Linked DNA regions of Coturnix japonica. The protein of the gene in region 1 interacts with the protein of each later gene in a biochemical or structural test. Links are inferred from orthologs where the notes say so. Each region holds a gene or a part of one and is shown on either strand. Other genes may lie near its edges.

Region 1 (3,293 bases):
TTTGAGTTGGTCACCTTGGCAGCCGGGAGAGGCAGGAAATAGTTTTTACTTTTGGTAAAGGTTTTAAAGAAGAAAACAAAACAAAAAGTGAAGCTGCCTGTGACTGTGGGCTGTGGCTGTGACTCGGGCTGGGGTAGCTTGCACTGCTATGGACTTTACTGCTCTCATTCCGAGGGCACGAACTCCCTGTAGCAACAATGCCACTTCTGAGAAGTGAACGGCAAGTTTCCCTTCCTTTTGTATATGTGAACGTGAGGGTGGGAGAGGGAAAGAGCTTGCTTGTACAGTTTGTTGAAATGAAACCAGACATTTTTGGTTGTTCCTAAATAAAGAGTGTAAAATACAAATGAGAGTCAGCTGGTGATTGCGGGGCTGCATCCCCACATTGCAGCCCTACCCCACTGCCACTTCTCACCCCCCACCCCAGCTGTAACCATGGGGCTGCTCCTGCTCACTCATCCCAGCAAGGAGAATGGCAAGGGCAGCAAAATGAGACAGCGTGCATGTAATACTGACACGTTTATTGGAGTTTAAGCTACAAGTGGGGCCTGCAGCCCCCAGCCCAGTGCACACCAATACAGCAGAGGGGTGGCGGGTCGTATGTGCAGAGGTTTTGTCTCTCACCCCAGCAGCTGTTGGGCTGTGCACATCCCTGCACGTCATTAAGGGTTTGTCGGTGAAGGTGGGTGGGTGGGTGTTTGGGTGGTTCTTTTGGTTGTTTATTATTATTTTTTTCCCAATTTTTTTTTAGTTCTCCGCTCAAACACACTTCAGCGGAGAAACTGGAAAAGCTGCCTGAAAGTAGGCCATAGCAGTGCCGTTTCAATAGAAACCAGTTCGCAGCGTGCCGTGAGATCCACAGGCACGGGAGGTGCTTCCAGCCAGCCCTACAGCCGGTTGTCCCCGTTGACTCTGGTCCTTCGCAGCACCCTATGGGGACAACAGAGGGGATGCAGTGTTGGAGCAGTGCTTCCAGGTCCTGTGCTGCATCCCACCACTCTGAGATTTCTATTTCCAGCTCCTATGCCCATGCCTGAATAGCACAGAGGCATGGAGGGATGGAAGAGCTCACAGCTCCCCCCATGCATCCCACACTATGCATCTCATCACCCCCCACCCCAATCAGTGAACCCCCAACAAGCCTTACCCTCACTTCCCAGCTTAATTTAGGGCTTCCAGAAAGCAGACAAGGCTACGACTCAGCTCTATCAGGATGCTGCATTTCACAGCCTGCCCCCCAAGGACCCTCCCCAGTGCCCACCTTCGCTCCCGGCTCTCAAAGTGCTCCGCCAGCTGCTCCTGTGACACTCGGAAGTCTTCAAATGGCTGCTGGTACCGCACCTCGAAGGAGCCCTCCCTGGCTCTGCTGGCCAGCAGCTGGCTGGCCATGTCCCCACCTCGCTCCCGCAGCACGGAGCCACCAAAGAGGCTGATGTCACCATTCTCCTGCTTGGGTCAGAGCAAAGAGCAGTGAAGGGGTTGAGATGGTGCAGAGCTATAGACAGGGCTGCCCTGGGCCATACAGCTAATCTATAGTGTCCCAGGCTTCCAGGTACTGGAAGCTCCATCATGGGATCCCACCAAAATGGACTCATAGGTTGGAAAACAGCCCTGAGATCACTAAGTCCAACCACCAACTGGACCTCCCCGCTTCTAAGCCGCATCTATTGCCACAGCTGCACCCCCTGAACTATCTGCAGGGACACACCACCCAGGGCAACCCATTCCAGTGCATGATTTTAGGTGAAGAAATCAAAGAATCTCCTTCTGCATGGCCCTGAGCCCTGGGGACTGGATGGGAGCAGGAGTCAGGACAGCACAGCTGTGCACTGGAGGATGGGTACAGCAATGCCTCACCTTGCTGGGGAAGATGTCAATCTTGACGAGCAGGGAAGCCAGCTCCAGGTTCTCACTGTAGTTGTTCTTCAGGGGTACGGCTCGGAACCCTGCGGCACACACAGCCCCACGCTATTTGCAGCACAGCTCCTTGACTGCCCCGTGCTCAGCAAATGGATGAGCACCAACACGGCACACACAGCAGCTCTGAGCCCTTACCGGTCTTCAAGCCTTTCACCAGGAAAGTCGCCTGTGCCAGGAAGTTCTCATCACTGAACATGTCCTCCTCATACACCACGAAGCGGAGGAAGGCGAACTCAGGGTTGCTGACCTGGAAGTGGAACTGCTTTGGGCTCCAGAGGGGGTTCAGGCCGTTGTCCGCTGTGCACAGAACACTGCAGTGAGAGGGCAGCCCCAGCACTGCTTTGCTCCTTCCACCCTTAAAGGTGGAAGCAGAGCCCCCAGCCCCATCTCCTCCCTTTGGTGTGAGGGTGTCTGAGCACCACGGCCAGCCCTCCCCACTCTGCTGCCAAGCCCCTGATAAGCACTGCAGCCAGCACAAAGGCTGCATCTGGGGGGAAACCAGCCCACCCATGCCACCTCTCCTTCCACACTCACCCACAATCTCTGTTTTCTGCTTCGCGTTGTCATACTCTGCCCCAGACACCTCCACCTCCACAAAAGGACACACGATTCCTCTGCCATTTTTGGGGAGGTGCCGGGCCCCCAGGACCTGGGGAACAGAGACTGAGTGAAGGGTGGGAGCCAAGGAAAAGACTTGTTTGCATACACAAACTTGCTGTCTGAGTAACTCCCCCCTGGGCTGCACTAAGCAGAGGTAGGAGAGATGCTGACACCTGGAGGGAAGCAGCTCTCAGATGTAGAACTGCTGCATATCACCAGTTTGTAGTTTAGCCTGAAGCCAGCAGCTCAGCTGCCCGCAGTCCTGCTGCAGCTGCACAGCCCAGCTGTGACCATGGCATCACTCCCCTAAGCTGGACCTTGGCACTGGGCACCCATGGCTTCATCAGAACTTCTCGCTCCCATCACTTTGGCTGGAGGAAGCTGTTCCTCCCCTCTGCCTGCAGCAGTGGGTGCTCAGCACAGAGGACAACCTGCTTCCTCACAGCACAGCTCCCCGCTCCTCCTGCCAAGAGCCATATGTCACTGGAGCAGGGGAAGGAGGCTCTGCCAGCACCGCATCACATGCTTTGAGTCATGCTGTGCTCCAGGCAGCTTCTCCATCCATGAAAGCTGGTGTTGGCTGGGGACAGCGGGCAGCTTTGAGCTCATCTCTTCAAGGAGACGGCTGTGGCATGGGGTCCCTTGATGCCTGGAGGCTGCAGCTTCACCCCGAGATGCAGGAAGAGTTTGAGGGGCAGCGCTTTGGTAAATGGAAGTCACAGAGAAATGGTGTTAGGGATTTCTAGGGAGTTATCATATGGATAATGCCAATG
Region 2 (3,500 bases), on another chromosome or scaffold:
CCTGGGCAAAAATACCAGTAAATGGTAGGGGCTGGGAATCCAGCTGCCACACACTGAAGAATGCCATTACTGAGTATATCCAAGGTAAGGATCTCTGGTTTTGCTGCAACACACACAAATGAGAGTATCATGTTAAAGGAGCACACAATTCGCATTGCCGCATGCTCATCACTCCAGTAACTGGAGTGTGTTATTACCCATAGAGTCAGGGGAACTGAACTTCCCATGGTCCCGCAACACTGACAAGCTGTGAAAATCTCTGTTCTTACACTGAATGCTTCCATTGGATTTCCTTACCTCCTCCATACTTTTGATCTGATGAAAGATCCTAAACCAGCAGAGCCACAAGCTGTACAGAACAAAGTATGTGTTTTAAATAAGAAGGCAGTTCCAGTTCTCGCAGAGGAATTTCACCAGCTTCTAACAAGGTCAGTTTCTCCACAGCTGTGTGTCAAACTGCACCTCTCCTGCATCTGCCCTCCATTAAACATTACCACCACAGTCAGGAAACAAACTGCAGTACAATACAACCAATGCGTATCCCTGTCCCACAGAGGGCACGCGTCCCAGTAAAACACTGGCCTAACAGGCTCACCATCTGAAATGCCACATGTGGAGGAAGCTAATATTTGGCTGTCTGTATTAGCTGCCCAAGCTGTAATTTCTGATTGCTCTGGTAGTTTACAAAGCAAGGCAGCCAGCTGGTGCCCCATGCTATGACGCTGCATTCCTTGTCTCTGTACTGAGGCTGGTGCTGCATGCAGTTCGGAGCTGCTGTGGTAAGTATGATGGGAAAGCAATTAGGTGGACTTTGCAGGCGTAGCCCAATGTCACAGGCCTTCAGGCAAGGACAACACCTACATGGCTCTGGAAGATATTAGAAAGATTTATTTATTGGAGAACTAGAATTAGAAGCCACAGCTATATTAGCTTCCTTGCAAATTAAAAATAAAAAATTAAAAAAGGCATTAATGGCAAAGCCAGACTATATGCCACAGATGTCGCTCACTTGGCACAAATTAATAGTCCATTAACCATTAATATAACTTTACAAAGATCTAAGATGAGCTTCTAACACTGTAGGAAGTTGTGAGACTGCATTGACAACTGTGGAAGAATGCAACTTATTTCAGATAAAATCCACGTGCCAAGACTGCACACCGTTTTTAATGAATATTCTACTTGCTGATTAAATTGGAGGCAATAAAACACACGTACACTCTCAATAACGTAGCATCTCCTCATGAGTCATGTTACAAGAACTGAATGTTCTTTCATTTCCAAATCCACATGCTGTGTCTTATGCAAACCACCCAGAACCAAACACTGTTGCAAAATGTTGAGACGGGTTTTCAGCATTACTCATTTGGAGTAGAACTTTTTTGATAGCAGGCAGTATCTCGCACAGTCTTAGCATTCATGGATTGTAAGAAATTCAGCTTTCCTAAGCTCCTATCAACAAGATTGAATTGTGAAATTGTAACTGTGTGTTTAGGTATACGATGTGTGTCAGGTAGTGTCACAACACCACACAACTCTGTGCTACGTCCCAGCACCTCCAGTCTTCTCTTAATGATGCCCTGAACTTCTCATTTCACCATATCTGAACTGATTTTCAGCTCTTATCAACGCTGATTCTGAACACAGCAAAGATTTGAGAGAGGTCAATTCTCTTTCAGCTCAGTGCTCTGTATAACAACATTGTGGGTTCAGCTGCTTTTTATTACCGATTTCTTCATGATTAGCACAGGAAGGCAGATGTTTAAAAACTAACATTTAATAGGTATTATTTTCTACCAGCACAGAAATACATTTCCTTCCACAGCCCCATTTTCTGGACTGGACTGAATCTTTCCATAGCACCACAGTGACTGCTCATTTGTCCAGTGCATACAGCAATGACAGGAAGAACACAGAGCTTCATGTAACCTCTAACACCACAACCAGGTTTCTCTTTGCAGCATAAGCCCCACCTGCACAGACAGAATTTTGTTGACTATACATTTAGCCAGATATTATTTTGCATTAAACTCAGATAATAGCTGGAAGATTCCTCCACTAATTGTTAGATGCATGGTAACTTGCCACTCTGGAGATTTGTACAATTTCTTAATTGTAACTCAGTTCAGCTCACTGCTTGTCAAGTTGTAATTTTCCCTTTGGCTCCTAATTTCAGAGCTCTTTCCTTCCCCACTTTGTGTAACACTCTCTATGACTGACTACATTTTACTTTAGCAATTTAGTATTGTTTTAGATTAGCATATGCAATTGCTAAATGTGTTCGAATCTGAAGTCTTTCTGCACAGAGTCTCTCACATCCTTCAGCAAATGCTTCAGCATCGATTTGTGTTTACATGAAGATATCCCCCTGATTATGAATCCTGTTTTACCTGTTTGATTGCTTTCTGCTGATTACATGCCTGAGCCAGACTTGTAAACAGCAGAAGCTAGATCCCAGCTATTTATGCAAAGTTCCCAGTGACAACAAGGCCAAGTCAGGACACATGATTAGATCAGCGTCTGTCCCACCCACACCTGACTGACCTTTTGCAGTTACTCTGCTATTTGAAATAGTATGTTATGTTGTTGTGCAGTTTGTGTTTCATACCTAAATGATGAGCATATTACACACCACTGAAAAGAGGACATTATTTTTATCTCTTTGAGGGATCAACCTGCTCCGACTTCCCTTTTTGAAAGGAAAAAAAAATATTTGCAGTAGTTGAATCAAAATACCAAAAGAAACTCTTTCTGAGCCAAGTAGATCAAATCCATCCATTTCAGCAATGTTGGTAGCCCACCCAGGGTCACACTACGTGGTAACCAAGGTTCTGCTGAGGTGGCTTCAATCTCTTCATTTCATCACAGGACTGACCTTACTGCTTCCAAGACTTCCAAGTTGATAACTCCATGTTGAAACAAGAATGAATGATACCTGAATGCTGCTGGTTGCACAGGCAAGCCTTTCAAAACTACATCATACACACTCTCTCTTACCATGGCCATAATGCTTCACCATGCTGGTCCTAGAGTGGTTTCCTAACCATGACTGCATGAATTTCAGCCTTTGTCAAGTAGTAGTCAAAAGGAGCAACATGGAGTTCTACACTGAGAAAATTCCCCCTTCTGATTGTGATCCGCACTCATTCAAGATGGCAAAGGATAGCTAAGGTTGCCATTGCTCTCACCTCAAAAATCCCAGCTAGGGAAGTGAATTCACAACACAAATGACTGCATGCATGGAGAACAGAAGAAATGCCATGTTCTAAAAGGAGTCCAAATGATATTTCTAGACCCAAACTACAGCACTGCAAATACGTTACTGATACTTCAGATGATGACATTCATTGTCAAGTGGGAAGAATTCAGAAATGAGTATCTAGGGTTTTGTGCACATGCAGAAATCTCGGTGCTCCTCTATATGAGCCCATGCCCAGAGAAAGGACTATTACTGCTAAAGCATTGCAATAGCGTGTTTGCAGCATATACTGTTACTATAC
Region 3 (3,500 bases), on another chromosome or scaffold:
CTTGGCTCCATCCCCACAGCCCCAGGGTTCATTGAACAGCCACGAGCTTCCCCTGCTGCCCCGTTCCCAGGCTCCCGGCTCTCCCCCTCCCCACATCATGACTCTGCCCTTGGGGCAGCTGAGCCCAGGGCAGCGTGGCAGAATGGTGCCCATCCCCTATTGGTGCCCATCCCCTATTTATGATGTACTGTCTGTGGGCCCAGCGCTGAATAAAGGATGGAGGTAAACGTGGCTCCTCTTCCCCTGTGTCCCTGCAGAGCATGGGGGGGATCCAGGCAATGAAAGCAGGATTAGGGCAGCTGCCCCATTCTTGGCTATCAGGGCTTTCCCTGCAGTGAGAGCAGCAGATGGAGGAGATGGGAGCAAACCACGCAGACAAAGTGGAGTAGAAAAAAAACCATCTACAATGATGAAATATACATCCAGGTGACACTGTCAGCTTAACGGGAACCCAGCAGGAGCCCAGGCAGCCCCGTGTCCACCTGCTCAGTGCAAGTCAATGTGTCCAGCGCTGCTGGGCGCCGGTGGGGAGGGGGCTGGGGGCACAGGGGTGGTGGGGGGCTCTGGGACAGCAGCAGCGTGGTCCAGGTGTATCCAGGGTGTATACAGGTGTATATAGGTGTATGGTGATGGGGAGCAGGGTGATGGGGCTCCCGGTCCTGTTGATGCTGCTCTTCTTCCTCCAGGAACCGTGTGGGGTTGGAGCATCCATCTCAGTGGGGCTTTGGGGCTCCTTTTGGGGGTCCTCTGTGCCCCCCCCTGTGCTGCTGCGCCGTCTCACAGTGCTCTATGCTCTCCTGCAGTATAGGGCACCCCCATGATTGGGGACAGTCCTGCCCCCACATCCATCGCCGGCCTCGTGCCGTCCCTCCCCAAGCTGCCTCGGTGAAAGGGGGGGGTCCGTATGTGGCCCTGCCCTACACAGCCACGTCCTCAGGCTCAGCCAAACCCAGGTACTCCGGGTTCTCAGCTGCTGGCGTGGAGCTGGGCCCACCCTCAGGGCTCCCAGCTTTGGGGGGGTCCTGGTTCCAGTAGTAGGGGTTGTCGAAGGCCTGGCTGAAGGCTGTGGGGACCGGCAGCCCCGGGGGGGCCAGGTACTCGGGGTTCTCCACGGCGTGGCCAAAGGGCCCCAGGAAGGGATGCTTGGTGTCCTTGATGAGCCCGTTCTTGCCTTGGTGGCCCTTGGGCTTGTCTGGTGGGGATGGTGGTGCACAGGGGAGCCGGGGGGGTGACGGCAGCTCCCCAGCCTGATTCACGTACTCTGCAGGGAAAAGGGATGTCAGCAGCCAAACAGGGTCCTTGCCCCCCTCCCCAGGGTCCTATATTGCCCTACCTGGCATAGTGGTATGTGGGGCTGGGGTGGTGAAGCCCTCAGGGTCCAGACCTTCACTCTCATCCCCCGGCAGCGCGGTGGGGTCCTCACTGTACCGTGTGGCTGGGGGGCTCGGCAGGGCTCCCTTGGCCCCAACATCCACCTCCAGAGCCTCCGACACGGGGCACTCTGACCCCTCCACCAGGTTCTGCGGTGGGAAGGGGAAGGCGGCTGATTCCTCCCCCTCTGTCGTGTCAGCTGGGGTCTCTGCTGTGCTCTGAGGAGGCAAAGGGCACGGAGTCGGGCACGGTGCTGTGGGGTCTATAGGGTCTGTGGGTGGCATTAGAGAACTTGCACCCTGTGCGCCCTGCAGCAGCACGATGCCCCAGGTCAGCCCTTACCCGCGTGGAGGAGATACGGCTGCGGTACGCGGTGGAGGTCTCAGCACTGAAGAAGCCCTGGTGAGGGACCAGGTATTCCTCAGCATCCACCAGGTCGTCCATGTCCTCCTCCTCCAGCAGCGCCCGGTAGAAGGTGCTGTCCATGTTGCTGGGCAGCCCGATCATGTCGTTCTGGGGGTCAGGGGGGGCTGTCAGTGCCCGTTGGGGCAATGCTGAAGGCGAGACCCCCCTGAGACCCCATTACCTGGATGACCACAAAGCGCTGGGGGTCGCGGGCCATGCGGGAGAACTCGGTGACCAGCTCACGGAACTTGGGCCGGCACTCGGAGTCGATCATCCAGCCTGGGGCAGAGCCGAGCACCGTGAGGGCGGCGTTGGGGTCCTGGCCCCCACGTCCCCATGTCCCCCCCACTCACATTTCACCATGATCATATAGACATCGATGGTACAGATGGGCGGCTGCGGCAGCCGCTCGCCTTTCTCCAGCAGGTCGGGGATCTCTCGTGCCGGGATCCCATCGTAAGGTTTCGCCCCGAAGGTCATCAGCTCCCACACGGTGACACCTGAGGACATGGGGATGTGGGGTAAGTGCTGGTTTGGGACCCCCTGCCCCCCACAGCCACCATAGGGACGCACCGTAGCTCCAGACATCGCTCTGGTGGGTGAAGCGCCGGCGCAGGATGGACTCCAACGCCATCCACTTGATGGGGACCTGGGTGGGTGGGAGGAGTGAGCGGGACCCTCAGGGGACACCGCGCTCCCTGTTGCCCCGTCCCCATGTCCCACCTTGCCCCCATCTGCGTGGTACTCGGTCTCATCGATATCCAGCAGCCGTGCCAGCCCGAAGTCGGTGATTTTGACATGGTTGGGGCTCTTGACCAGGACGTTGCGAGCAGCCAGGTCACGGTGCACCAGCCTCACCTCCTCCAGGTAGCTCATCCCCTGGGCAGCAGGCGTTAAGCCCCACATCTACATCCCCCCCACAGCCCCTCAGCAGCCCCCTCTCTTACCTTGGCGATCTGCACACACCAGTTGAGCAGGTCCTGGGATCCGATGCGGTCTTTGTTCTCCCTCACATAGTCCAACAAGCAGCCGTAGGGCATCAGCTGCGTCACCAGCTGCACCGTGGAGGTCAGGCAGATGCCCAGCAGCCTCGACACGTAGGGGCTGCCCACCCCGGCCATCACATAGGCTTCCTGCAGGCAGCACAGATAGGTCAGGTTGGCACCGACTCCCCAGCCCCGTGCCCACCTCCCCTGCACTCACATCCAGGATCTCCTTGTTGGCTTTGGGTGATGTGTTCTCCCGCAACACCTTGATGGCCACCGGGATCTTCACGCTCTCCCCATCGGGGATCCAGATGCCCTATGGGGGGTGGGGGGGCGGTGAGTGAGGACACAGATGGTGCCATCCCACTGACTGTGCCTCCCACCCCTCACCTTATAGACAGTGCCGAAAGCGCCGGAGCCCAAAACCTTCACTTTCTTCAGCTCCGTCTCCTTGAGGATGCGCATCTGTGCTTGGTTGGGGAGGGCCCCGCTGGGCGTCAGCGGCTCCACCAGCTGCGAGGGACAAGTGGGTGAGGAGGGACAACACTCTGAGCCCCCCCCAGGGTCATCCAGCCCCCCCACCTCAGTCTCCTGCAGCAGCCGCCTCATGGTGTGTTTCCTCTCCTGCTGCCGCCGGCGCTTGACGCAGACGACGGTGATGAGCAGAAGGACGACGACCAGCAGAGCCCCCACCACACCAGCAATGATGGATGTCACCTGGCTGCAGGACGGGAGGTG
Region 4 (3,500 bases), on another chromosome or scaffold:
TCTTACTGTTTAAGACTGCAGCTTTTACTCTGCAGAAAGCAGCATGACTTCCAGGCTGTGCCACGTCTGCAGGTTCTGAATGGGTCCCATTCAGAACTCTGTACACGTACCACGTTTGAACTGTCAGATGTAATTATGTGCTTTATTGCAGGGATGCAGTTTTGTTACTGCAGATTTCCACAAGTGCTAAGAGAAGTAAGAGAGAAAATTTGTTTTGTTAATTGTGCTGTTGTTTGTTTGTTTGTTTGTTTTCCTTAAATGACAGTCAGTTCTTTTTCCTACTAAAGCTCTAAATTCTTGTTTTAAACAGTGGCATTCCTGGAGGATTTCCCATCCTACCATCCCTTTTCCACATACAGTCACAACATTCCAGTGAATTGCTTCTCTGTTGGTAAGTGAAGAAGTCTCTGTTTCCCTCAGAGTCTCAATAACCATGGTTATAATAAAATGGTGCTATTAGTTGACTATAACTTCAGAAATGCCAAGACACCTGGGCATCTTTTCCATAACATCTGGGCTCACTTACTAGCACTTCATACACCACTACAGCCTCCTATCAGGAAACTTATTCTGTGAAAATGCAGATATGATCGTAAAAAACACATCGTGTTGGAGACTTTCAAGTTCAAGTATTTGTATATCTGATCTGAACAGAGGTGTCTTCCTGCCCTCAGATCAAGCAACCAGTTTAACTGTGATCACATGGATTTGACAGACCAGACAACTTTTCAAATTTCTGCAGTATTTTTAGCATCACCAAAACATCTCACACATGCTCTGATGCATCAGAAAAACTAAAGAAGACTATGTCTCTTAGCAAGATCAAGATATGCATAGAAGGAGAGAGCCTGGAACTGGGAAGTGAACAAAACAGAAATAGCCATTTTTGTATGACTTGAGCTCCTCTTCCCTTGCTTTGTTTATAAGACCATGAAGAGCTCCAAGTCTCTCATCATTAGAAGCAAAGAAAATCAATTTAACACTGATCCAAACCTTCCAATCTGATTTATCTTTATCACCCACCTTGATGAAAAAGCAAACAAAGAAAAATACTTTAACTCCTCAACTCACAATGAGTTAAAATAACTTTTAATGTAAAGTGATGTGGCTTTACTTACGGCACTCGGAGTTTGGGAAATTTCTGGATATCATTTTCAGACATGTTCTGCAAAAGAAGCATACAGTATAGATCACAAACACGTGCTTTTTGTTAATATATATATATATTTCTAAAAACTTAGGGGTAGAGTAGAATGTTCCCTGTGCTACTGAAGTGAAGCAATTTGATTGCAGGTTCCTAATAGCCTGAGTTGAGATGTGCTAAGCACTGGCAGCTTTACTGATGCTCCTGCAAAGAGTGTTGGCCTCTCTATCCTTCCACCCTGTTGCGCCACTCCAGATATAGGATGGATAAACACAGTGGGCTAACTTTTGAGGAATTGTTTTGTTTAGTCAATCAAAAGCTTTGCTTTGGAACTTGGATGATAGGCATGTTCTGTCTGTCTTTCTTACTGCCAGCAGTAATTAGTTTCTATTCACATATTGGTTTAAAATGGCATCAATGTTTTTAAAGGCACAACAAATCTTAGCTGTGTTTTCCAGCACTGTTGTGCTTCTGAGTACATTTGTAGGAGTAAACTAAAGCAAAAATATATTTCCTTTATGGAAACGTCCTGCAGGATTTACTGAAGCATCTTGTTTTTTTCTAAAGACCTTTTAAGCTTCTCACTGGAACTCTATTGTGGCAATAAACCTGACAAATGTTACGGGGTAAAACTCTCATAAATGGCAATTTTGCCCTTTTAAATCTTGGGGAATTTTATTGAAGTAAGTTATGTGGAATCCCTCTGGTTTTATTTCTACTGCATCTCAACTGGAACATTTCTGTAGTAGCCAGTAGATACAGAAACATGACTTTGAATCTAGCAGGTTATTCTAGTGGATAAGATAGCCTTATTTCTGCAGTCAGTTTTACCAAGTAGCTCTGACAGTAGACCCAAAACCTGCATACAACTCATGCTAATAGTTTCTTGTGTTGAAATATAATTTGGCAGTTTCCAATAATTCAGACATGAAAAGATGTTTCTTAGAAACGCCATCCATAGAGAGAAAAAAAAACCCCAACACGATTGCATTGCAGGCTAGAATATTCCACTTGTTTTTAACAAATGAATATTTTTTATGCTATAAATATAACAAGTAGGTCAGAAGCGTAACAACATTCATCTTAGAAGAGCTGAGGAGATGCTTGTTTCTGAAAACATACTGCACTCTACGTCATTTATTTGCAGAAGTGCTTTGGAAATAATACATAACATTATTATTATTATTATTATTATTATTATTATTATTATTATTATTATTATTATTATTATTATTATTATTATCAACTTTTGTCAAATTAGGTCAAGTTCTTGATACAGCTTGGGCTAATGCTGATTTAGACCCAATGACACGTTCCATATTAGTTTCTGTGTTATTATTGATCACTGAATATATGTTTTGCTACAGAAGAAACCTGATTTTGACTATAGAGGCACAAAATAGTGACTGCTGCAGAAAGCTGGCCGTTCTAATCATGTCCATGCCTTTTTTAGTAGAAGACTACTAGCAGGAGATTATGGAGCTCGGGAACATGATTTAGCAGTGGGTTGTTAGGGTAAGGGTAGTATGGTTAGATCGAGGTTGTACTTGATGATCTTTCTAACATGAGCAGTTTTAAGACAGTTAATAAATATTAGGTTTCTGTAGTTAGTATTTGAAAACAAGTATTTCCTATAAAGGAAGGGATGAATTCAAGACAAAATGAAACAACATGCTTGAGTTCCCAGAATTCTGGACTTACAGCAAAATGTCTGGCTGATCTTTACTTCTCATACTTAAGTAACAATCTATGAACTGACTATCAGTTCAAAGGAAAGAAGAATCAAAACAGCCATTGGATTCAGGGAATTTTACAAACTCTACTTACCAAAAACCTCTGTCCATTTATACTGTGCTTTCTCACAACTTTCTCACAGTCCTTATACCTTAACTGTCAATAAGAAGAATATTATTATTATTACATTGTAATTATAAGAAACAAAAATACTTAAAAATACTTAAAATGCTTACAGCTAACTATGAGTAGGTGCTTCATGTTATGCTGTTGCGTGCTAACACCTATTACCTGATCCATCTTAGGAATCCCAGTAGTTCACAAAATCCTCACTGTGATAACGTTATAAAACAAAGCTGCAGCTCATGACCTCACTTAGATTTTATTACTTTTTGTTTTTAAACACCCTGGACTACCTGAATTGCTCTTTTTTTTTTTTTTTTCCTGTAAATGTGTGTTGTGTTTTTTTAAACAACGATCCTTCAGTGGACCTGAATACTCCCATTCCTTGGGAATGGGAACACTAAATTCCCCACATTCTAAACCACCTTCCAGTTTCCTGTTCCAATAAAAAGATCTGGAAAGTGGATGAGGAGGTTGTAGTACTGAATACAATGAACAG
Region 5 (3,500 bases), on another chromosome or scaffold:
CAGCTCCTGCGGATTCTGGGCTTCATAGTCATATATGGCCATGACTAAGGTTTCCTTTGTGTTTAGCAACGATTTCTATACCAATTAGGAAAAAGGCTCATCATATTCATGTTTATAAATATCAATGGCATGCTCTCTGAAATGATATTCCCCTGACAACACTGGTGTGCTCTGTACAGCCTGCTGGGCTCAGTACCTCAAGGCGAGGAGAGCACCCCAGGAGCTTGTGAAGTTACACTGGCAACGTGGCATTTTAAGCATTATCAAGCAATGGTTTTCATACATAATTCCACATGCACAGAAAACAGTTGTCTAGTTCTTCTTTAAGGCATCGGGCAGAATCAATCCTTTCTGATCTGATTTTCACAGTTGTTTCCTAAACTACCATTAAAAGATGCCAGTGATAAAATCTCCTTGCTCTTCTTAGATGGACATAACAACCTCACAGCTCCTCACTTCTTACTGTGACTTTTTCCACCCACAAGTGGGTTTGGAAAGCTGCTTTACTAAGGACAGCATTGTATGCCTTGATGCACTCACCCAGTTATCTTCAGGAGTGGGAGGAAGAGGCTTCTTTGAGGCTGAAATGAAATCAAGAAAGCTAATTTGAATCAGATATAGACAAACCCTACAGAAATAGAACAGCAAGCCTTGGTTGTTTAGAGTAAGATGCACCAACAGCTGCACCTGCACGGGGACTCTCAGCAACATAACACGGGTTTGAAACTGATGTGCAGATTGTATAGGGAATCGCAGAAATACAAGGGGGGGAAAAGTCTTCAGTGTAAAATGATTGACTTCCCTATCTGCCAGCATTACTTTGATGTTTATACTACAGAGGAAATATGGGAAGGACAAAATAGATTGAATCTTTTACTTTTTTCTAGGAATAAATACTTTCAGGGTCAAGATTCTCTTAACGAAAACTCATACCGGTTTTGGTGGGGTCATACTCTAAACAGCCAACTGCCATCTTCTCTGTCTGAGCACAGCATCTCCACTTGCCATCTATCCAGAAATCTGGATGGTACTTTGAGACCAAACTGTTGTTGCTCCTGGTTTCTGGAAAGAGTTAGAGTAAGAGAAAAAAGGAGGAAAAAGTGGATTTGTTTGTACTGACATAATCTCTGAAAGGCACATAGAACTGAACAGAAATAATCTGCACGTAAGGACCTTATTTTCTTTTTCGAACCATTATTCTTCGTGAATATTATTAGCCTCCTCTATTTCTCTCTTCAAACTGTTAAACACCAAAACCACAGAAAGAACAATTCAAAAACAGAAAGAAAACCTGGTACACCAGGTACTGATGATTCTCATAGCAAACTGCATCTCTGCAGGATGTATAAACGTAGGACACAGACTCTGCTGCTTTGGCTCAGTGTTCAGAGGGAGATGGACCAGTTGGGATTCACCAGCTCTAAATATTTTTGCACATGTAGATGCCAGCTGTGAATCTCTGTATGAGCAATCAAAGGTCCTTCTGTTTGAAACTATTTGCCATAATAATTCTCTTGAAAAGAATAAAGAAAAAAAGGAGAAAAAAATGATCCTGGCCTGTTTCTACTTGGTCAAGTCAAATAAAATTGTTGTTGATCACTCAGATTGTCTCAACATGCTGAACTAGAGGAGGCGATAAAACAAAAACTTGGAACAGGTACACCCTCAAAGGGGAATAACTGACTGTAAGACTAAGCTTAATAATAACACAAACAGGCTCAATGTTTTCAAAGTGAACTAAACATCAGCTCACGCTACAAAGGAGGAGAAAGCTATGAGGGAATAAGGGTGCAATTTTCATGTAACTAAACAACCTTTTCCTTCTGCACCCAGCGGTTAGTTATTGTACCTTCACTTCAGAATCATTGTAATGAACCACAGAACAATTCAAGAAGCGAACAGGAAATGAAAGCTACCCACAGAAATGTTTCTTAATAATCATGATTCTCTCAGAAGGTTGTCATCTAAACAAAGTAGCTATTAATCAGTGATGAGAAATCTTCTACCCAGAAAATATTAAGTGTTATATGCCGAAGTTTTCTAAAGCTTTTGAAAACACACCCACAACATCTGCAAATGTATTTGACTCCATAGCTGCGTTCTCAGTGACCACTTTGCTTGGTTAGATGTAAGAAAACAACTTCTCTTGTATGTTTTCTTGGCATTTTAGCTGTGGAGAAAAATGACCTGGGATAAGAAACTTCAACAATTAAGTAGGCTTAGGGGTTCTGTTACCTTCCTTCAGTGTAAAGACCCATCTCTGCCGGCTCTCACGATTGGGTGCGAACACGTAGAGGATGTAGTTATCATGGACAATCTGTAGATGGGAATAAAGATGGGAACCAGCCATTAGAAACAATCCTGGGTGTACTGGGCATGGTGGAACCATGGAAAGAAACAGGCAGTAACCCCCATATCAAGTACGTAAATCCCTGAAAAACAATGCTGTGTACAAGTGGAGTATATAGCGCCTGTTCAGAGGTATCCCATAACCTCAGTGCCTTTTACTTATCTAAAACTGAGTACAAAACTCAATCAAGAAAGAATTTTAGATGAGCAATTTTATTTTAAATCAATTTTTTGTTGAAATGACAGTTAAACCAATGGAAACATTACAACTTCAGTCTGCACAGAAGCCAGCCCACTGCATGCTGGCTATAGCCTGTTCTTCTGAAGCACCTACGAGAAAATTACTTAAGTTTCTCAGCTCTTTCTCTTAAATCACCTTCACTTAAAATATAAGAGCCAAATTTATCTTTTCTGGTCAATATGAATTCCAAGCAATGCCCCCGGGATTCACTGTACTACTATCACTCTAGAGTTTTTGATAGCTTTCACTAGGGTTATGGTGGGGAAATAAGAAACTAGAGCAGATGAGCAATGAGCATTCAGGATGCTGGTTTCATAAACGTGCCCTTAGTGATGAACAAATGACAGAAGAGAAATACAGAACATTCGTGAAGTTTCAGACTCAGGAGTGAAATCATCACAGGAACAAAAATGACTCAGAAACTTAATCAGATGACTACGTTTGGGCCTAAAATGTGATGTAACACATAATCTATGTTTCTTTTCCAATATTTATCCAAGAATTTATACCCAAATGAGACCCGATCTCTTTGATGCACAATCACTTTGAAAAAGCTTCAACCAATATCTTTAAACAGAGTTTTCTGTTTAAAGACAGCATCTGTTTTTTTCAGAGCTTAAAGCAGTGTAGATGAGGCAACGTTAATAACCGTTCAAATGATAGGAAGCATTTGCTATCTCTTGGCCTGATGCCCCTGCAGGCACACACAGACAGCTATGTGATTCAGTTGCTTTGTAGGCTATAGAGAGATAAATCATAACCTCTGTTTAAGAAAAAAAAAAAAAAAAAGGGGGGCAATAATTCCCACTCATTTTAAGACATTCTTGTGTCATTGTTTGTCAACATTTGTTCCTTCTCCCATCCATGCTTAACCAGGAAAGCTGCATTGTAATGTGGGAAGGGAAGAAAG
Region 6 (3,500 bases), on another chromosome or scaffold:
ATGCGAAATAATAACCAAATTTGTAGCAAATGAGCACATGGCTTTCTTTATCCACTAGAGAGTGCAAGCAAGAAACCTTTCAAGCAAGGCTTCTGGGACAGTTCACTGTGGTCACTAATGTAGCTGATAGAGCAGCATCTACAGTGTTGCTGTTTATTTACTTGACCCACAGACTGTTGCATTACTGTTGCTAAAATAGACTGTATGTTGCCAATGTCAAGTAGAGTCTTAAACTTGCACCATAGGTTACAGTTACAAATCGTATATTTTGACACCTGAATAACATAGGATGTTTCGTGTTGGTTTTTTTTTTCCTTTCAGGAGGTTCTAGGTTACAAAATCGACCACCAAGTGTCTGTTTACATAGTGGCAGTATTAGAATACATTTCTGCAGACATACTGAAATTGGTTGGGAATTATGTACGAAATATAAGGCATTATGAAATTACAAAACAAGATATTAAAGTGGCAATGTGTGCTGATAAGGTAAGCTTAACTCTTGTTTTTCATGTTAAAAGAGCATTGAAGTTGAATTTTAAGAGGACTTGTCTATCTATTCCTTATTGAGTAAGCAGTGTTGTATGAAGAAATTGCTGCAGTAAAATATTGTTCCAGTAATGCAACAAAACTATCTGAAAGCTAATTGAGTTGCAGAGCTGTTACTCGTGCTTATTTACAGTTAAGTGTCTCTTTCTTTTGATATTGCTTGCCTAATCCCAGCAATGTGTGAATGCTTTAAAAGTTGTGAAGCAGCAAAGACTTCAACATTTCACATTCATTGGCATTAATAGTAGCTCCTGCTTTTCTTCTTTGTATCTTAGAAAAAAGAAGGCTGAATTGAAGCATGGGTACTTTCCCAAAATAAGACCGTATTGCAGTGTTTCTGTGCTCAAGTTAAAAACAGACAAACGTAGGCATCTCTGTTTCTCTGTAGGCATCCATACTTTTATTGCCAGGTCTTCTTTCCTCTGGTTTCAGAAGAGTCATTAGATTCAGACAGTAGTTACCTCTTTACCCAGTGATCCAGCAGTGCTGGAGAACAGGCTGTTGCGTTTCAGGTGCCTTCGCACTCTGGTTTCTATGGCCACCTCATCAGCATCTTGAGTTTTCCGTTTAAAAAACCAAAGCCTGAAGTTAGTCCTTTAACAGATGGGTCTCGAGAGATGCTCATATTGCTGCAGTCCAGTGGATGCTTTCAGTATCTTTGGTTGGACTTGCCTCTTCTTCAAGGAATGCTTTTGTCTTGTTCACGCTTGAGTTTTTTTTCCATCTTGCTTCCATCTTCATCTCAAGAGGAAAGAAAGGTGTTGTGTGAGGCTGAATTATTAGTGAGGTTGTGTGAGTGAATTATTAGTCAGGACAGTTGTCTTGGTCGTTTGGTCTTTTGGATGCACCCTCCTGGGCTGTTACAGCGGTGTTTGGAGCTGTGTGCTTGAATATAGAATAGGAACAGTGCTGTTGCTGCATGTGTCTCTGTATCCTGGGCAGGGATGGCTGATGGGTTAAAGAGGCTAATTGGGAAAGTGCATTAGGCACTAGTACACTGGAGTAAGTGTAGAAGAAGCTTTTGGGAGCTCTGAAGTGGGCATGTTGATTTACTGGCTCAGTGGAATAAGCCATTGGCAGGTATTTCCACGCTGTTTTCTTTTCCAGCCGCATCAAGGACCTTTAGGTTCCTGCTGTCAGTGTGCGCATTCTGCTTTTCTTTTTTTAACAAAACAACCAAAAGTTTGTCATCTTCTGTCTCCTTTCCAAATGCTTTCACACTTCTGTTGGTGCCACCTGGCTATCTGAAAAATTCTACTTTGTTTAAAAAAAGAAAGAAACAACAACAAAAAAACCACAGAGCAAACAAAACCGCACACAAAAAACCATCACCTGCATTAGAATGCAAGCTATTTTTATTTGACTGTCTGCTCGTGCTTCTGAATTCTCTAAGTGATTCCAGTTCAGAAGAACTGAGGAGCTGGTATTCATCACAGGTAACGGGGTTCTGAGTTCAAGTCACAAATGGCTTTCTGTTAAAGCCAAAGGTGAAGAGCCGAAACGCACGTGCTTCTCCATAATATTGCATCTTTAGAATCTTAGGTTGTGTAGGCTTATTCAGTGTTACAGAACATTACTAAATGCTGACACCTCCGTGCTTCATAGAACTCTTAGAGCAGTGATTGATTTTTAGGACCACGTTCTGAAACGTGCCAAGACTGGCCTGAGTGATGGGGTTCTTCAGAAATTTGCACTGCAAATATTGACTTGCAGATTCATAACAGTGCGTGTTGCTTTCATAATGCTCAACCAATTGCAGAACGATAAGTACAAACACTGCTGCTGGTTAGTTTGATTTAATGGAAATAATTTTATTTTCTGAAAACTTACTGGTAGATCTTGAAGTTCTGTCACTTTATGGCTTTCTCCCTCTTTGCTGGCTAGGTGTTAATGGATATGTTCCATCAAGATGTAGAAGATTTAAGTGCACTAACTTTATCTGACGAGGAGCCCTCCACTTCAGGGGAGCAAACCTATTACGACCTAGTGAAGTCATTTATGGCAGAAGTCCGGCAATATATAAGGGAACTTAATCTCATTATCAGAGTCTTTAGAGAGCCATATGCCTCCAACTCCAAACTATTTTCATCTCATGTAAGTGTTGTGTTTAAATAAGTATATGTGTATATAACATAATCTGTAAATGCTCATCTAGATTTATACAACTTAACTATTGTCCAGTTTAACACATCCATAGCAGAGAAACACTTCCCTTGAGTTCTGAAATGTGAATTGTAAATGTTTGTGAGGAAACATCTTTCTGTAGAAGAAACCATTCAATTTTATGTGTTCACTTGCAGGAAGGACGAGTTAAAGGTTGGTCAATGCTCTCTGCCACATTAAATTCATTGTAAATGCTTTTATTTTTATATGTACATATACAAAGTCATTGTTTTAAAAATAAATGCTATGATTTTATATTTCAAAAGTTATATACACAATATTGTTTATAAATTCTTGTTCTGGTTAAGGAAATGTTTAATTCTCATATTGTAACAGAGTTGTTTTGTACATAACATTGTATCTCAAATTATGTCCAGTTCCTCATTGATTTTTGCCTGTTTCTGTTTCTTTGCAGGATGTTGAAAATATCTTTAGTCGTATATCAGACATTCATGAACTTAGTGTAAAGTTATTGGGTCATATAGAAGACACTGTTGAAATGACAGATGAAGGTAGTCCTCATCCGTTAGTAGGCAGCTGTTTTGAAGATATGGCTGAGGTAAGAAAATACTGATTTTTCTGTTGCTGTTGTTAATCACGTGGACTTTAAGGATTTGCACGCAGGTGCTAAGCGCATGTCTGCCAAGGTGCCTTTATTTAGATTTTTGATTTCTTTTTCTAACCCTCCCCCAGTCGAGAGTAAACTATTTTTCTAGAGCATTCACCTTTATAGTCTTAGTCTTCAATCTTTGTAGGCTGTTTAATCTTCAGTAGAGGCAGGGGGAACAAAC
Region 7 (4,218 bases), on another chromosome or scaffold:
CTATTATGTGAGGAACAGATCAATGCTCCATTACCAGGTATGGTCAACAGCAAGCACCAAAGTCACTGTAGAGCCTATTAGCTCCGTGATCATTAAGAATGAAAAGATATTTCCCAGATGCCTTTTTTTATACTGTTATATTCTTGCCCTACAAGCCAAAGACCCCCTTACATATTTTCATCTCAAGGTACATAACCAAAGCCTCTTCCACTGAGCAGACAAGGAAGATAACAGGAGAGACCCACTAAGAGCCATCAGAGCCAGGCTACCCTCCCTCTCTGATGGCAGCCCTCTGTTACAAGATACCAGGTAACAATACCTGTGCTAATTCTTTTGTGCAATCTTCTAGTAAAAACCACATACTTTATTCCTCCCGTTCTTGTCATCAAGGGACTAGGTACATGTTTATAAATTTTCTCCATCAAGTTCCACACCCAGCACAAGTGCCTCGTAAATCAGCCTTCTCTTCCCTGAAACACTATTGAAATGAACCATCTGAGCCAGCAGAGGATGACAGCAGCAAAAGGCCTTGCACCACTTCCTTTCTCAGATGACCCCCACGGCAACTCTACGCCTCTGTGGGAGACAAGACTTTAAAGCATAGTGGGAGACACTGAAACAGCAGCTAATAGGACTTGCTTCATCACTCAACAGAGCTGAGACAGAGCAGTGCAGCTAACACTATTGAGCACGATACAATCAATACTGTAATTAATTCATACATGCAAACCGGTCTTCCAGACTTTGGCAGACCAAGCCAGTCCACAATGTACCCTGGAAGTATCAGTAAAGTCAGTCCAAGCCTATCCCATGAATACACCTTTCTCAAATACTATCAGAATGAACTCCTTCAGCCACATAACACATCTGGAACAGATTATGAAGGAGTGCTTATCCCTTTTGGCCTTACGAGCTATTGGCATTCAGCCCGATTAAATTGATACAGGCTGATTCAACTAAGGACTGCATCCTAGAAGAGCCAGGAGTCCTTGTTCCTTGCTGAACCTCAGCAGAACATACAGCAGACGTGATCATCCCCACGCCTTGTAGTGTATAAGCCTAAAGACACATTAACCTCATTGCTGAAGCTACAGCTGCCAAAAGTTGTCTTAAAAGTTCTCACTTGTTATAATAATATTTATGGACAGTACTGGAGGCCCTTTGGTCATGCTGAAAACTAAACAAGTATCCTGAACTGCAGTAAAAGTTAAATCTGTTCTGGGTTTGTCACAAGAGTCTCAATGCAAATCATGTCTGAGAAACATTTTAATGCCGTAACATCTCATAATATCCGATCTTTAAATACTGTTTTGAAAGTAAAACCCAGCACAGCAGGATGTGGATTTCCTTCTCACTATGCGTGTAACTTACAGCAATGAATGCATTCCTGGTATAACGCAGGTGACTGAAGTTTAAGCATTCACAAAAGGCTGAACCCAGAACTAAGGCAGCACATACAGAAAAACATAACAAAAGTTTTCCTCCTGTGCCCTCTGCAATGCTGAGCACAAACGAGTTCTCCAGTTCAACCACCTACATACCAACCATCTGTACAACTGCTTTCTGCAAAAAATCCAGGTCTCGTTTCCATTATTTAATAAATATTCCCAGTATTTCTGAAATACTCTGCCACATTTCTCCCCCTTTTCTGAGTTACACATCGCATTTCTTAACACTCCCAACAGCCCCTTTCACAATAGTTGCTCAAAAGAATGAAGCGTAGCACGAACACTGAGGAGAAATAAATCCAAAGGACAAAGGGAATAGAGAACTAAGCCTGACTGAGGTGCACGTTATAAATATGCTCATTCCATTCAAATTGCTTTTCTTATCAGGTGAGCGTTTCCAACCAACTCTCTCTTTGTTTTTCCCCCTCCAATCCTTGGCCATTTTCTGCATAAGATGCAGCAGTTAAAAGCATTTTTCCTTGAGTCAGTTTTCTTCTCTTAGTTTTAATCTGCTCTCTACCTAAAAGAGGACAGATGACAGAAATACACGCACTCACCTTGACACCGTGCCCAGTCGACACATAGCTTTCCTGCTGACGCTTTCACTGTATGATAGTTTCCTTTGTGAGGACAAAGCCATTAGCAGCTGATAGCCCCTCTCAGGCATGACAGGAACATCGCTGTGCTCCCCTCCTTTTTGTGTATGGAAAGGCTGAGAGCGGCAGCGATAACTACTGTACACACAAAGGAGGAGCTGCGCCCCGACTGCTTGTACATCTGCACTGCAGCGTGGCCAAAAGGGACGCCTAGGCAATGACTTGTTTCCTTTGTTACTTCCTGTTTCCCCCCAGAGTCAGTGGGCAGCTCTGTCTTTGTCAGATTTCCCAATATCCCACAGAGGCTGTAAATCAAACTGTGCGTTACCTCAAGCCTCTGAGACTGCGAGACACACTGTGGGGGATTTTCTAGCGCTCTCTTGCCTCTTCTTCACCTTCCCACCAACTGCTTTCCCATGGGAGAAAAAGAAGGTAGCCCTTCTCCCTTACAGTGTGCTCAGGCTCTGGAGCAGTTCTGGAGAAGGGCAAAGAATGTATGTGAGATCTGGAGCACGAGTCTTATGGAGAATGGCTGAGAGGACAGGGATTGTTCAGTCTGGAGAAGAAGAGGCTCAGGGGAGACCTTATTGCTCTCAATAGCACCCTGAAGGGAGGCTGTGGTGAGGTGAGAGTTGGCTCCTCTCCTGCGTAGTTAGTGATAGGACCAGAGGGAATGGCCTCATGTCGTGATAGGGGAGATTCAAGTTGGACATTAGTAAAAGTTTCTTCTCAGAAAGAGTGGTCAGGTGCTGGAACAGGCTGCCCAGAAACGTGACTGAGTGTATAGAGGTGTTCAAGACACGTTTAGGTATCGTACTGAGGGACATGGTTTAGTGAGGAAATATTGGTGGCAGGTGGACGGTTGGAATGGATGTTGTTGGAGGTCTTTTCCAACCTTGGTGATTGTGTGATTCCATGAAATTAATTCGTCCCATGCACCATTAAATTGAAATAGACAGTTGATATTAAGAATTAACAGTGTTTTAAAGCAGTCCTTCCTCTCCCTGTTCTCTGCTATGTTATAATTGCTCTCTGCTATCTGGCATACTCTCCTAAACTTGCATTACTATCCTTCAGCCTGTATCTCCACCTCATTTAAAAAAAAGCTATGATCAAAAGAGACAGCACTTAAGTAGATGTAACACTGCAGAACATCCATTCCAAACATCAGCCTGACACACTTCAGCCTTGGTTTTACCCTTCCAAAGTTTGCAGCCATAACACAATGCTCTCTGGGCTCTGCAGTCTCATTTTAAATTAATATTTCATACATTCAGTATGCTCCCAACGTACTACTTTTTCCATTCTAATCTTTCTGATGCTGCCCTCTTCATATACGCACTCACAGTTTTTCATTTCTACTTCCAAGATCCCCTTTCGATTTTTCTGGTGATTTCTAACACTGTCCAAATGGTCTTAGAGAACGAATACCATCAGAACAGAGGCCACTTCACATGTGCTCAGGCACAAGCTGGTGTTGTAGTGAGGAATAAGCACACACCAAAACCACCAAAGAGCGCTTGCATGTTTCACAGATGATCATTCATGTAGTAGAATGAAAATTCTGCCTAGCTTTCTAGACCAAACATTAATCAGAAGGTTTGCATTTCAAAACGACAAATACAGAGCCTGAATAGACGCAAAACTGTAATGGGTTTGATTAACACGTTTGTCACAGAAGAGTCCTCCTCCACAGTGCAAAATTCAGTTTTGCAAGGAATGCTGGCATATGGTTTTCAGACTACTGACCTTTATTTGTCCCCACAACATCAGTGAGGCCTTGCACCAACCCAGCTCAGGGAGAATTTCAACGAAAAGCGGTTGCTTCATCTCTCTGACATTATCAGATCTCATGTAAGAAGAACCATAGCATCAAAAGCAACTTTACATTTGATTTTCACTCCATTAGGACCACTGCTTGTGAATGACAGTCAGTCATCCCCGCCAATGTTAATAACAGCTCTTGCTTGCAGTCAAAAGTAACCACGTCTACGCCAAGTTTACCGAAAGCAAGAGAATAAAAAGTGTCTCTCATGCTACAGTAACCTCACTGGTATTAATGCACTGGTTCAGTTGAGGTGTTGAACTATCTTCAGCGAGAGAGCTTCCTCTTACTGACCAATTTACAGGAAACTGCAAGAATGGACCACAGATAGAAGCAGACTGAGCAAGAG

Evidence for each region.
Region 2: the proteins of PLCG1 (region 1) and KIT form a complex in vitro, tested with the Homo sapiens proteins (3 studies listed by BioGRID and IntAct, with this or other methods). The link is inferred for Coturnix japonica from reciprocal best matches to the Homo sapiens genes PLCG1 and KIT.
Region 3: the proteins of PLCG1 (region 1) and ERBB2 form a complex in vitro, tested with the Homo sapiens proteins (2 studies listed by BioGRID and IntAct, with this or other methods). The link is inferred for Coturnix japonica from reciprocal best matches to the Homo sapiens genes PLCG1 and ERBB2.
Region 4: the proteins of PLCG1 (region 1) and LCP2 form a complex in vitro, tested with the Homo sapiens proteins (2 studies listed by BioGRID). The link is inferred for Coturnix japonica from reciprocal best matches to the Homo sapiens genes PLCG1 and LCP2.
Region 5: the proteins of PLCG1 (region 1) and ITK form a complex in vitro, tested with the Homo sapiens proteins (2 studies listed by BioGRID, with this or other methods). The link is inferred for Coturnix japonica from reciprocal best matches to the Homo sapiens genes PLCG1 and ITK.
Region 6: the proteins of PLCG1 (region 1) and SOS1 form a complex in vitro, tested with the Homo sapiens proteins (2 studies listed by BioGRID and IntAct, with this or other methods). The link is inferred for Coturnix japonica from reciprocal best matches to the Homo sapiens genes PLCG1 and SOS1.
Region 7: the proteins of PLCG1 (region 1) and SH3BP2 form a complex in vitro, tested with the Homo sapiens proteins (2 studies listed by BioGRID, with this or other methods). The link is inferred for Coturnix japonica from reciprocal best matches to the Homo sapiens genes PLCG1 and SH3BP2.

What each region holds. Positions count from the first base shown.
Region 1 is NC_029535.1:4,220,520-4,223,812, reverse strand, and holds the end of PLCG1 (1-phosphatidylinositol 4,5-bisphosphate phosphodiesterase gamma-1), read right to left. Parts: intron 2,570-3,293; coding exon 2,455-2,569; intron 2,218-2,454; coding exon 2,056-2,217; intron 1,947-2,055; coding exon 1,858-1,946; intron 1,450-1,857; coding exon 1,262-1,449; intron 931-1,261; coding exon 888-930; 3' UTR 501-887; downstream 1-500. UniProt on the Homo sapiens protein: Mediates the production of the second messenger molecules diacylglycerol (DAG) and inositol 1,4,5-trisphosphate (IP3). Plays an important role in the regulation of intracellular signaling cascades.
Region 2 is NC_029519.1:58,899,032-58,902,531, forward strand, and holds part of KIT (mast/stem cell growth factor receptor Kit), read right to left. Parts: intron 104-3,500; coding exon 1-103. UniProt on the Homo sapiens protein: Tyrosine-protein kinase that acts as a cell-surface receptor for the cytokine KITLG/SCF and plays an essential role in the regulation of cell survival and proliferation, hematopoiesis, stem cell maintenance, gametogenesis, mast cell development, migration and function, and in melanogenesis.
Region 3 is NC_029542.1:3,928,568-3,932,067, reverse strand, and holds the end of ERBB2 (receptor tyrosine-protein kinase erbB-2), read right to left. Parts: intron 3,484-3,500; coding exon 3,345-3,483; intron 3,276-3,344; coding exon 3,153-3,275; intron 3,079-3,152; coding exon 2,980-3,078; intron 2,910-2,979; coding exon 2,724-2,909; intron 2,656-2,723; coding exon 2,500-2,655; intron 2,426-2,499; coding exon 2,350-2,425; intron 2,277-2,349; coding exon 2,130-2,276; intron 2,056-2,129; coding exon 1,958-2,055; intron 1,885-1,957; coding exon 1,714-1,884; intron 1,590-1,713; coding exon 1,334-1,589; intron 1,262-1,333; coding exon 918-1,261; 3' UTR 382-917; downstream 1-381. UniProt on the Homo sapiens protein: Protein tyrosine kinase that is part of several cell surface receptor complexes, but that apparently needs a coreceptor for ligand binding. Essential component of a neuregulin-receptor complex, although neuregulins do not interact with it alone.
Region 4 is NC_029528.1:13,171,958-13,175,457, forward strand, and holds part of LCP2 (lymphocyte cytosolic protein 2), read right to left. Parts: intron 3,035-3,500; coding exon 2,972-3,034; intron 1,166-2,971; coding exon 1,119-1,165; intron 392-1,118; exon of another isoform or gene 135-391; intron 1-134. UniProt on the Homo sapiens protein: Adapter protein primarily involved in signaling pathways within T-cells, as well as other immune cells such as platelets, mast cells, and natural killer (NK) cells.
Region 5 is NC_029528.1:13,136,375-13,139,874, forward strand, and holds part of ITK (tyrosine-protein kinase ITK/TSK), read right to left. Parts: intron 2,318-3,500; coding exon 2,236-2,317; intron 1,063-2,235; coding exon 934-1,062; intron 582-933; coding exon 541-581; intron 76-540; coding exon 1-75. UniProt on the Homo sapiens protein: Tyrosine kinase that plays an essential role in regulation of the adaptive immune response. Regulates the development, function and differentiation of conventional T-cells and nonconventional NKT-cells.
Region 6 is NC_029518.1:14,489,699-14,493,198, reverse strand, and holds part of SOS1 (son of sevenless homolog 1), read left to right. Parts: intron 1-321; coding exon 322-486; intron 487-2,430; coding exon 2,431-2,640; intron 2,641-3,124; coding exon 3,125-3,268; intron 3,269-3,500.
Region 7 is NC_029519.1:74,770,848-74,775,065, forward strand, and holds the start of SH3BP2 (SH3 domain-binding protein 2), read right to left. Parts: upstream 2,801-4,218; 5' UTR 2,116-2,800; coding exon 2,006-2,115; intron 1-2,005. UniProt on the Homo sapiens protein: Binds differentially to the SH3 domains of certain proteins of signal transduction pathways. Binds to phosphatidylinositols; linking the hemopoietic tyrosine kinase fes to the cytoplasmic membrane in a phosphorylation dependent mechanism.